2 linked regions of the Macaca fascicularis genome follow. The protein of the gene in region 1 interacts with the protein of each later gene in a biochemical or structural test. Links are inferred from orthologs where the notes say so. Each region holds a gene or a part of one and is shown in the gene's direction. Other genes may lie near its edges.

Region 1 (5,190 bases):
CGTTAGGAGGCTCACTGAGGAGGAGAATTTCTGGGGAGTGGGTAAGGTCTGTGTTCTGCATTTAACTGACCCTGGCCAGTTGCCCTCCAGAACGCTGCTGCCAGCTCCCTCCCTCCAGCGGGACGTGAGGTTATGTTCTGTAGATCACCCCCTGCTCTTGATGTTATCAAACATTAAAACTTCGCAACCTAGTAGGTGAAAGTTAGTTTTTCATTGTTCAGTTGTGTTTTTCTGATTTTTGGGAGACTGGACATTTTCCGTGTTTGCTGACCGTTTGCATCTCCTCTCCTGCTCTGTGCTCCATCACCCTGCTCCAGCTGCTTCCCGGAGCCTCCTTCTTTACTCTCCACCTGCCCGCGTCCTCCTCGTCTTTCAGTTTCTTCCTAAGGGCCCATGGGCTTTCTTTGGTTTTTACGTTCCTCTCACTCTGCCTTTGGCTGTTTCTGGGCCTCCCATCTCCTGGGAGGTTTCAGAGGATGGGGAAGACACAGGAGTGTAGTCGCCATGCAGTGCAATATGGGCTGTAGTGTTCATCCTCCATGGCCTTTATTGAGGACTTACTGTGTGCCAAGAACCTGCTCTAAGAACGTAACTGTGCTCCCTCACTTCATGCTCATAACCACTTGTGAGACGGGCAATGTTCTCATCCTTTTTTTTTTTTTTTTTTTTTTTTTTGGAGATGGAGTCTCTGTTGCCCAGGCTGGAGTGCAATGGCATGATCTCGGCTCATTGCAACCTCCGCCTTGCAGGTTCAAGCCATTCTCCTGCCTCAGCCTCCCAAATAGCTGGGACTACAGGCACAGACTGGGACTACAGGCCACCACACCTGGCTAATTTTTTTGTTTTTTGTTTTTTGTTTTTTAGTAGAGATGGAATTTCATCATGTTGCCCAGGGTGGTCTCGAATTCCTGAACTCAGACAATCCACTCACCTTGGCCTCCCAAAGTGCTAGGATTACAGGCGTGAGCCATCAGGCCCGACCTCATCCTTGTTTTACACAGAGAACATGGAGGCACAGAGGAGTTCCATAAATTGCCACCAAGGCCTTCCACTGGTGTGCAGCAGAGTCAAGATTCAAACCCAGGCTGTCTGGCCCTGGGGTCCAGCCTCTCCAGTGCTCTGCTAGGTGCTGGACAGGGTCAACGAGACACAGAGAATGAGCACCACCTGACAGACTGGGACAGTCAGGGACGGCTTCCTGGAGGAGGTGACACCTCAATGGAGCCTTGAGGGAAGAGCAGGAGGGGCTGACCAGGCAATGAATAGAATAAGTATAACCAGGAAGAGGGAAAAGCCTGAGTGTTGCTGGGAGGCTGGAGAGCTGGCCTGGCTTGGGGTGTGTGCCAGGGGGGCAGGACCAAGGGATGGCCAGGGCCAGATCTAGAAAAGCCTGGGCCATCCCATAGTCAATACCTCATCGCAAGGCCCGGCAGGCCTTCCACTGCTCTGTGTGTACCCCATGGGACGCCAGGAGCCTGGGCTGCAGCCACCCACCTGGGCTCCTTAGACCCAGTGCACAGGCATGGGGGCGGGAGTGGGTGTGGCTGATTTACATCCAACAGGTTGAGGGGAAAACCCAGGAAGTGCAGCCCAGGCACTAATCAAATCTAAGACTAATAATAAGCATCCTGAGTAATGAGTGGCCTGGGCCGGAGCAGGCGAGGTGGCCGGAGCCGTGTGGACCAGGAGGAGCGGTGTGAGTAGCCGGGCAGGAGGGCAGGAGGGCAGGAGGGCAGGAGGGCAGGTGTGAGGTGTGAGGAGGGTTGGGCCTCAGTGCTGTGGGGGTTGGCAGTGTCTGGTGGGTGCAAGGCCCACAGCAGATCCACACACTGGGGCAGTCCCAGCCTCCCAAGCCCCGGCACATGGAGAGCCCTGGATCTGGATGCCTCTGGGGTGTGGGGCTTGCCTTCCGGGAGAGAAGCCATCGAGGCTGCAGGGTTGGCCACACCAGCAGGAATTCCCTTTGTCACCACGGCCCTCTGGACACCCCCTATTTTCCCCCTTACATGCCCGCTGGACCATTTTAATGCTAATCTCAAACACCAGATTGTTTGATTTGTAGAGACCACAGGATCTATTCCTTAAGAACACAAACTCTAAAACCAAAACAAAAAACGAAGCATCATACCATCACCCCTGCTGAAACAACAATTCCTGAACATCATCACATAGCCCGCCAGGGTTCAAACTGCCCCGACTATCTCATCTATGTCTTTCTCAGTTGATTTGTTCAAATCAGCCTGGCCCACATTAGACTTTTGGCTATGTTTTAATCTATAACAGTTTCCGCCCATTTTTTCCTCGGTTATTTATTTGTTGACAAAATTGGACTATTTATCCTATAGTTTTTTTTTTGTTTTTTTTGAGACAGAGTCTTGCTCTGTCACCCAGGCTGGAGTCAATGGCCTGATCTTGGCTTGCTACAACCTCCGCCTCCAGGGTTCAAGCTATTCTCCTGCCTCAGCCTCCCAAGTGACTGAGATTATAGGTGCTCACCACCACGCCCGGTTAATTTTTTGTATTTTTAGTAGAGATAGGCTTTCGCCATGTTGGCCAGTCTGGTCTCAAACTCCTGACCTCAGGTAATCTACCTGCCTCAGCCTCCCAAAGTGCTGGGATTACAGGCGTGAGCCACGGTGCCCGGCCCTTATAGCATTTTTATCAGAGTGAGTTTCTAAGGTTTTATGAAAGGGCCCCAGGTCCGTCACTGTGCAGACAGAACCCATGGCCAGATGGACCGGGGCACAGCCTAGATTCACAGCCTCTCCCTGCTGCTCTGTCCTACACCCCAGGCAGGGAGCAAATCTGTTCTCCCATCCTCTTTTGTGTCCAGCCACCATGTCCCCAGAATCTACCAAGTCAGGGGCTCAAATACATAAAGTTTCTGAGAGACTTGGACAAGGCAGTGACCAGAGGCTGCCTTGACACAGGATGAAATTGCCCAGGCCTCTGGCACCACGAGTCAGGACGCAGCTAGAACTGTGACCTGGCAGTGGCAGCAGCTGTCTGGTGCTGCCGAATCAGCCCTGAGCCACTCTGGGACCTTGGCTGAGCCGCTTCCCCTCAGTGTAAAATGAAGTAGACTGTCTTTCCTACCAGACATCCCTCAAAAACACAACAGTGCTTTGATGAAACTACCAGACCCCCTCTTGGGGAGTCACAAGGAAAGGCTCTGAGAAGACCTGCAGTTAAAAGAAATGCCTTGACTTTCTTTAACCCAGTGTTTTTCAAACTAATTTGATCACAGAGATCTTTCTTGGTATAGCACCTGTTAACCAGCCAAGCACGTGAGGAGGGACAAGCAGAGGGCTCTGATAATCACCCTCCTTGGCTGCTGTCTGGTCTCGGGATGCAGGAGAGAGTTTCCATCTTGCATCCAAATTTGTGGCGGCCCAGAGTGTGAGCCCAGCCCACAGAGCTAGTGTCAGATAGGAGTTCCCTTTCTTCCCTTTCCGTCAATGGAGCTTCTCTCTCAAGCTTCTATTCTGCCTGGCTGGTGTCAGTCATGGGGTTTTCCCACCCTCCTTTGGCACTTGATGATGGTTCTGGGATTTTATGTAGGTCCATATGGTGGTAGAGGAGGGGGCAGGGACAGGCCCACTGGTCAGCTTGGCATCTGCCATCTGGTCAGTCAGGCTCCATCTCTCCTTCAGGTCCAGTGGCTTTGGTGGCTTCCAGGCAATGAATGGGTCTTGGAACCTCTCCAAAGCTGCCCTTGTCACATAGAACCTCCTGCCCACCTTCCACTCAACCAACCCTTCACGGTGATATGCGGTGGGTGGCGGCTTTCTCCCTCTTTGCTCTTCCACCCAAATATGGGGAGAATCAGGGGTCTGTCTTTAATTTTGTTTGATCTTTTGATTTTAGATTTGCTTTTGAATAGATAGTATAGTCAGATGGTTTGAAACCCAGAAAGTATTGAAAGATATATAATAGAAAGTCTTTTTTTCTCCTTGTCCTCCATCTGCCAAGTTCCCACCTCCCCTAGAATAAGTAGCTTTATTTACATATAACTTACATGCCGTGAAATTCACCTGTGTAAAGTGTACAAGTCTGTGTTTTTGGTATATTTACAGAGTTGTGCAACCATCCCCGTAAGCTAATTTTAGAACATTTCGATGACCCCAAAAAGAAACTTTGTCAGTCTTCATTCCTCCCTAGCCCCAGGCTAATCTACTCTCTGTCTCTATAGATTTGCCTATTTTGGACATTTTCCATAAATGGAATCATATGTGGTGTATTGTGACTAGCTGTTTCCACTTGGCATAATGTTTTCAAGGGCCGTCCAAGTTGTAGCAGGTATCAGTACTTCCTTCAGTTTTGTGGCTAAATCACATTCCATTTTATGGATATATCATGTGGCTTATCCAGTCATCGGTGGATGGACATTTGGGATGTTTCTACTTTTTGTCACTGTGATTATTAACAATGCTTCTATGAACTTTTGGGTTTAAGTTTTAAGTGAACATGTCTTCTTTTCTCTTAGACGGATACCTACAAGTGGAATTGCTGGGTCATATGATACATTCTATGTTTAACATTTAAAGGAACTGCCAAATGCTTTCCAAAGTGGCTGCACTATTTTATAATTCACTTCAGGCACGAAGGTTCTGATTTCTCCACGTCTTCACTGACGCTTGTCATTGACCGTCTTTCTCATTCTAGCCATCCCAGGGGGTGTGAGGTGGTATCTCACTGTGGTTTGGATTTGCATTTCCCTAGTGACAAATGATGTTGAGCATCTTTTGCATGTGCTTTTTGGCCATTTATATGTTTTTTGGGGGAAAATGTCTATGGAAATAGTCCATATAAAAATTGGGTTATTTGTCTTTTCATTATTCTGTTATAAGCATTCTTTATATATTTTGGATACAAGCTCCTTATGAGGTATAAGATTTGTAACTATTTTCTCCAAGTTTGTGGATTGTCTTTTTACTTTCTTCATGGTTTTCTTTGGAGCACAAAAGTTTTCATTTTGATTAAGTTCAATTTTGATCAATCTTCTCTTCTATCACATGCAAATTTGGTGTCATTGCCTAGCCCCAAATCATGAAGATTTAATTCTATGTTTTCTTCTATGAGTTCTGTGGTTTTAGCTCTTACATGTAAGTCTATGATCTACTTGGATTTAATGTTTGTGTGTGGTGTGAGATAACAGTCCAAATTCATTCTTTTGTACGTGAATACCCA
Region 2 (5,172 bases), about 9.5 Mb from region 1:
GTGGGCACTGAACGTTCAAATGCTCAGTGGATCCCCGGGGAGTGTGGGGGAGTCCTGTAGAGAGACATTTCCTTATCTCTGAGCATCTGTGTTCAGGTGTGGACGGGACAGTGAGTGGCTGGGAGGAAGCCAGAATCAACAGCTCCAGCCCTCTGCGCTACAACCGCCAGATCGGGGAGTTCATAGTCACCCGGGCTGGGCTCTACTACCTGTACTGTCAGGTAAGCCCCACCTGGCTGCATTGGTAACGCAGTAAGGGAGTGGCGAAGGGTTTGCCAGGAGAGTGGGGGACCAGCTACAAGGCTGGGAGGGTGAGTCGGGGTTTGGGTGGGATGGGATGCCTGCGTCACTGAGGAAATTGGAAATTGAGGCGAGGGCAGGCAGAGGCCTGGACTTGGCCTATTGTCCCCACCCCAGGTGCACTTTGACGAGGGGAAGGCTGTCTACCTGAAGCTGGACTTGCTGGTGGATGGCGTGCTGGCCCTGCGCTGCCTGGAGGAATTCTCAGCCACTGCAGCGAGTTCCCTCGGGCCCCAGCTTCGCCTCTGCCAGGTGTCTGGGCTGTTGGCTCTGCGGCCAGGGTCCTCCCTGCGAATCCGCACCCTCCCCTGGGCCCATCTCAAGGCTGCCCCCTTCCTCACCTACTTCGGACTCTTCCAGGTTCACTGAGGGGCCCTGGTCTCCCCACAGTCGTCCCAGGCTGCCGGCTCCCCTTGGCAGCTATCTGGGCACCCCAGTCCCCTGTGCCCCACCCTCAGCTGCTCTTTGCTCCAGACCTGCCCCTCCCTCTAGAGGCTGCCTGGGCCTGTTCACATGTTTTCCATCCCACATAAATACAGTATTCCCACTCTTATCTTACAACGCCCCCCACCGCCCACTCTCCACCTCACTAGCTCCCCAATCCCTGACCCTTTGAGGCCCCCAGTGATCTCGACTCCCCCTGGCCACAGACCCCCAGGGCATTGTGTTCACTGTACTCTGTGGGCAAGGATGGGTCCAGAAGACCCCACTTCAGGCACTAAGAGGGGCTGGACCTGGCGGCAGGAAGCCAAAGAGACTGGGCCTAGGCCAGGAGTTCCCAAATGTGAGGGGCGAGAAACAAGACAAGCTCCTCCCTTGAGAATTCCCTGTGGATTTTTAAAACAGATATTATTTTTATTATTATTGTGACAAAGTGTTGATAAATGGATATTAAATAGAATAAGTCATAGTCTCTCTCTTTATTGGGGCTCAGGGGACACTCCCAGGGTAGATGGGGGTCGTGGGAAGGGGGGCGTTACAGAGCGGCACAGCTGGAATTCCAGGATGATGTTCAGGCTTGGGAGCGGGGACCTCCATGCTTCCAACCCCCAGGTGGGAGCAGAGCTAGAAAGGCACACCGCCCAGGAAAAAATCAATGGTCCGCCCAAGGTACAGCAGAAGCGGCCTCCTTTCCCAAGGAGGCGGACTTCCTCCTCCGGGGGAATCCCTCCCTGGCTGGGAGGAGCAGGGGCCCTTCCTCTTGGTGGCCTCGGGACATTCAGCAGGTGCTGGCACAGGCCCTTGCTGGGAGGTGGGGTGGGCAGGAGCCAGCCTGGAGGAGGGGCTCAGAGTCAGCAAGCACACGGGAACCCGGAACCCTGTGTGCCGGGGAGGAATCCTGCAGTGGCCGGGGGGCTTGGGGCTGCTGCTTTGTCTCTTCGTCCAGAGCCTTATGTAAGAGCTTTTCTCGGGAAACAGGAAGTCCTGCTTGCCAAGTTCAGCACAGGGAGTAGTGCAGGCCTTATTCCAACACACCCGGCCCAGCCTTAACCCCAGAACTCAGCCAGTTTCTTGCTTCCGTGCCCCTGGTTCTCCTCCCCACCGAGCCCACCCCTCCTTTCCCACCTTCAGTCACCCCTAGTAAACTGCCCCAGTGATCTCTGCTGTGCCTGAGCCAGAGGGTCTTTCACCCTCGCCCTGACCCTGGACACTGCCCAGCTTGGCCCCCCATCCTGCTCCTGGCACCATGCCCTCTCGCCAGCCAACCTTCCCTCCCCCAACCCTGGGGCCGCCCTAGGGTTCCTGCGCACTGGCTGTTCCTCCTGGGTGTCACTGGCAGCCCCGTCCTTCCTAGAGGGACTGGAACCTAATTCTCCTGAGGCTGAGGGAGGGTGGAGGGTCTCAAGGCAACACTGGCCCCACGACGGAGTGCCAGGAGCACTAACAGTACCCTTAGCTTGCTTTCCTCCTCCCTCCTTTTTATTCTCAAGTTCCTTTTTATTTCTCCTTGCGTAACAACCTTCTTCCCTTCTGCACCACTGCCCGTACCCCTACCCGCCCCGCCACCTCCTTGTTACCCCACTCTTGAAGCCACAGCTGTTGGCAGGGTCCCCAGCTCATGCCAGCCTCATCTCTTTTCTCGCTAGCCCCCAAAGGGCCTCCAGGCAACATGGGGGTTCCGGTCAGAGAGCCGGCACTCTCAGTTGCCCTCTGGTTGAGTTGGGGTGCAGCTCTGGGGGCTGTGGCTTGTGCCATGGCTCTGCTGACCCAACAGACAGAGCTGCAGAGCCTCAGGAGAGAGGTGAGCCGGCTGCAGAGGACAGGAGGGCCCTCCCAGAAGGCAGAAGGGTATCCCTGGCAGAGTCTCCCGGAGCAGGTGAGTGAGGGGAGGAGGGTGTCTGGGAGAGAAGGATGGTTAGCATGGGGGGGGGGTCTCTGGGCCTCCTGGTCTGCAAAGTTTCAAGGGGGTGCAAGAGAGGGTCTCCGGTTTGGAAGTCAGGGGCGCGGCCATTCCAGGAAAGGAAACTGTTAAAGGTTAATGCTTCTCATACCTAACAAATCCTGGAGGGCAGCCAGCACCAACACTCCGGTTGCTGGGAAAAGGTGCATGAGAGATTTGAGGCATTTCGGGGGCAGGGGAGGGCTGGGAAGGAAGGCTGGCTGGGACTCTTGCATCTCAATCTAACCCTGATCCTCTTTCCATGAGCAGAGCTCCGATGCCCCGGAAGCCTGGGAGAATGGGGAGAGATCCCGGAAAAGGAGAGCAGTGCTCACCCAAAAACAGAAGAGTGAGGCTTCCAGGGTGCAGCAGGGGTGGGAGGTGTGCAGCAGCATGGGGATTGTAAGCCCGAGTCAGGGTGAGGGTGGAGGCTGCCAACAGCACAACGGGGAAAAGTGGACACGGCTGAGATTCCCTCCTTCTCTCCTCAGAGCAGCACTCCGTCCTGCACCTGGTTCCCATTAACGCCACCTCCAAGGGTTAGCACTGTTTTAAATATGGCTTTGGGGAGGGGCAATAACCAGCAACTCTCGGGCTGGCACTTGGGCTCAAGGGGTTCTTATAGGTGAAAGGGGAAGAACCAAAAAGGATCTGAGAGTGCCAAGAAATCCTGACCGACACACTTCTCACCTCCAGATGACTCCGATGTGACCGAGGTGATGTGGCAACCAGCTCTCAGGCGTGGGAGAGGCCTACAGGCCCAAGGATATGGTGTCCGAATCCGGGATGCTGGAGTTTATCTGCTGTATAGCCAGGTAACCCCGCCACACTCTGAGCTTCACAAGGGGCCTCTTTGGCCCGATACTGAGGGTTCCTGACCCCTCTATTCATACCAAACCTAGCAGACCCTTCATTCTTCCCTCGTTATCGCTCCTGAGGCCTCCCAGAACTGAGCCAGGCCATCCTGTTTTCTTCAACATCTCCCTTTCCTGCCAGGTCCTGTTTCAAGACGTGACTTTCACCATGGGTCAGGTGGTGTCTCGAGAAGGCCAAGGAAAGCAAGAGACTCTATTTCGATGTATAAGAAGTATGCCCTCCCACCCGGACCGGGCCTACAACAGCTGCTATAGCGCAGGTGAGAGCCGTGTGGGCAGCCGAAAGCAGGACATCTCTGACAGGGGGTGCAGTGCAGGGAGCTACCAATTGGAGGGAGGCTGGAAACCTAAACAGAGGCGGACCTCTTCATTCTGAGGAGTGAAGTGAGTGCAGAATGCCTGGGTCCTTACAGGAGGTAGAGGAACGGTGGAGCTGGAAAGGCAGGGGGAAGCAGGGCATCTGGATGGCTGTGCTTCACTGTGAATCTACTTTCTCTCTTTTCTCAGGTGTCTTCCATTTACACCAAGGGGATATTCTAAGTGTCATAATTCCCCGGGCAAGGGCGAAACTTAACCTCTCTCCACATGGAACCTTCCTGGGGTTTGTGAAACTGTGATTGTGTTATAAAAAGTGGCTCCCAGCTTGGAAGACCAGGGTGGGTACATACTGGAGACAGCCAAGAGCTGAGTATATAAAGGAGAGGGAATGTGCAGGAACAGACGCGTCTTCCTGGGTTTGGCTCCCGGTTCCTCACTTTTCCCTTTTCATTCCCACCCCCTAGACTTTGATTTTACGGATATCTTGCTTCTGTCCCCCATGGAGCTCCGAATTCTTGCCTGTGTGTAGATGAGGGGCGGGGGACGGGCGCCAGGCATTGTCCAGACCTGGTCGGGGACCACTGGAAGCATCCGGAACGGCACCACCATCTAGCGGCCGCTCGAGGGAAGCACCTGCCGGTTGGCCGAAGTCCACGAAGCCGCCCTCTGCTAGGGAAAACCCCTGGTTCTCCATGCCACACCTCTCTCCAGGTGCCCTCTGCCTCTTCACCCCCACAAGAAGCCCTATCCTACGCCATTCTCTCCAAATATCGGACCCCAGTTTCCATCACTATCTCCAAAGATGTATCTATTATGCGCCCGTCTACAGGGGGTGCCCGACGAGGACGGTGCCTTCGCAGTCAAATTACTCTTCGGGTCCCAAGGTTTGGCTTTCATGCGCTCCATTGCCCCGGCGTGGCAGGCCATTCCAAGCCCTTCCGGGCTGGAACTGCTGTCGGGGGAGCCTCGGATGTATCGTACGCCCTGGTGTTGGTGTTGCCTCACTCCTCTGAGCTCTTCTTTCTGATCAAGCCCTGCTTAAAGTTAAATAAAAGAGAATGAATGATACCCCGGCTCCATTTCCCCCACTGCCTCGCCTCAGCCCGGTCCTCGTACGGGGATCTCCCGCCCTCCTGGCTCTCCTGTGGCGCGCCCCGCGCCGGACCAAGGTACTAGGGGCGCCGCTAGGGTCAGGCCGGCGAGAGCGGAGAAGACAGAGCGCGGCGCAAAAGGGAAAGTGGCTGGGACGCCACGCGCGGCCGGGAGGCAGATGTGCGCAGGCGCAGTCCTGTGTACCGC

The links.
Region 2: the proteins of TNFRSF13B (region 1) and TNFSF13 form a complex in vitro, tested with the Homo sapiens proteins (2 studies listed by BioGRID and IntAct). The link is inferred for Macaca fascicularis from reciprocal best matches to the Homo sapiens genes TNFRSF13B and TNFSF13.

What each region holds. Positions count from the first base shown.
Region 1 is NC_088390.1:17,064,227-17,069,416, reverse strand, and holds the start of TNFRSF13B (tumor necrosis factor receptor superfamily member 13B), read left to right. Parts: upstream 1-1,630; 5' UTR 1,631-1,635; coding exon 1,636-1,696; intron 1,697-5,190. UniProt on the Homo sapiens protein: Receptor for TNFSF13/APRIL and TNFSF13B/TALL1/BAFF/BLYS that binds both ligands with similar high affinity. Mediates calcineurin-dependent activation of NF-AT, as well as activation of NF-kappa-B and AP-1.
Region 2 is NC_088390.1:7,605,512-7,610,683, forward strand, and holds TNFSF13 (tumor necrosis factor ligand superfamily member 13), read left to right. Parts: upstream 1-2,069; 5' UTR 2,070-2,359; coding exon 2,360-2,617; intron 2,618-2,950; coding exon 2,951-3,029; exon of another isoform or gene 3,030-3,061; intron 3,062-3,171; coding exon 3,172-3,219; intron 3,220-3,376; coding exon 3,377-3,495; intron 3,496-3,676; coding exon 3,677-3,815; intron 3,816-4,062; coding exon 4,063-4,172; 3' UTR 4,173-4,337; coding exon of another isoform or gene 4,338-4,344; 3' UTR 4,345-4,419; downstream 4,420-5,172. Other genes in the region: TNFSF12 (tumor necrosis factor ligand superfamily member 12), read left to right, coding at 97-221, 418-669. UniProt on the Homo sapiens protein: Cytokine that binds to TNFRSF13B/TACI and to TNFRSF17/BCMA. Plays a role in the regulation of tumor cell growth. May be involved in monocyte/macrophage-mediated immunological processes.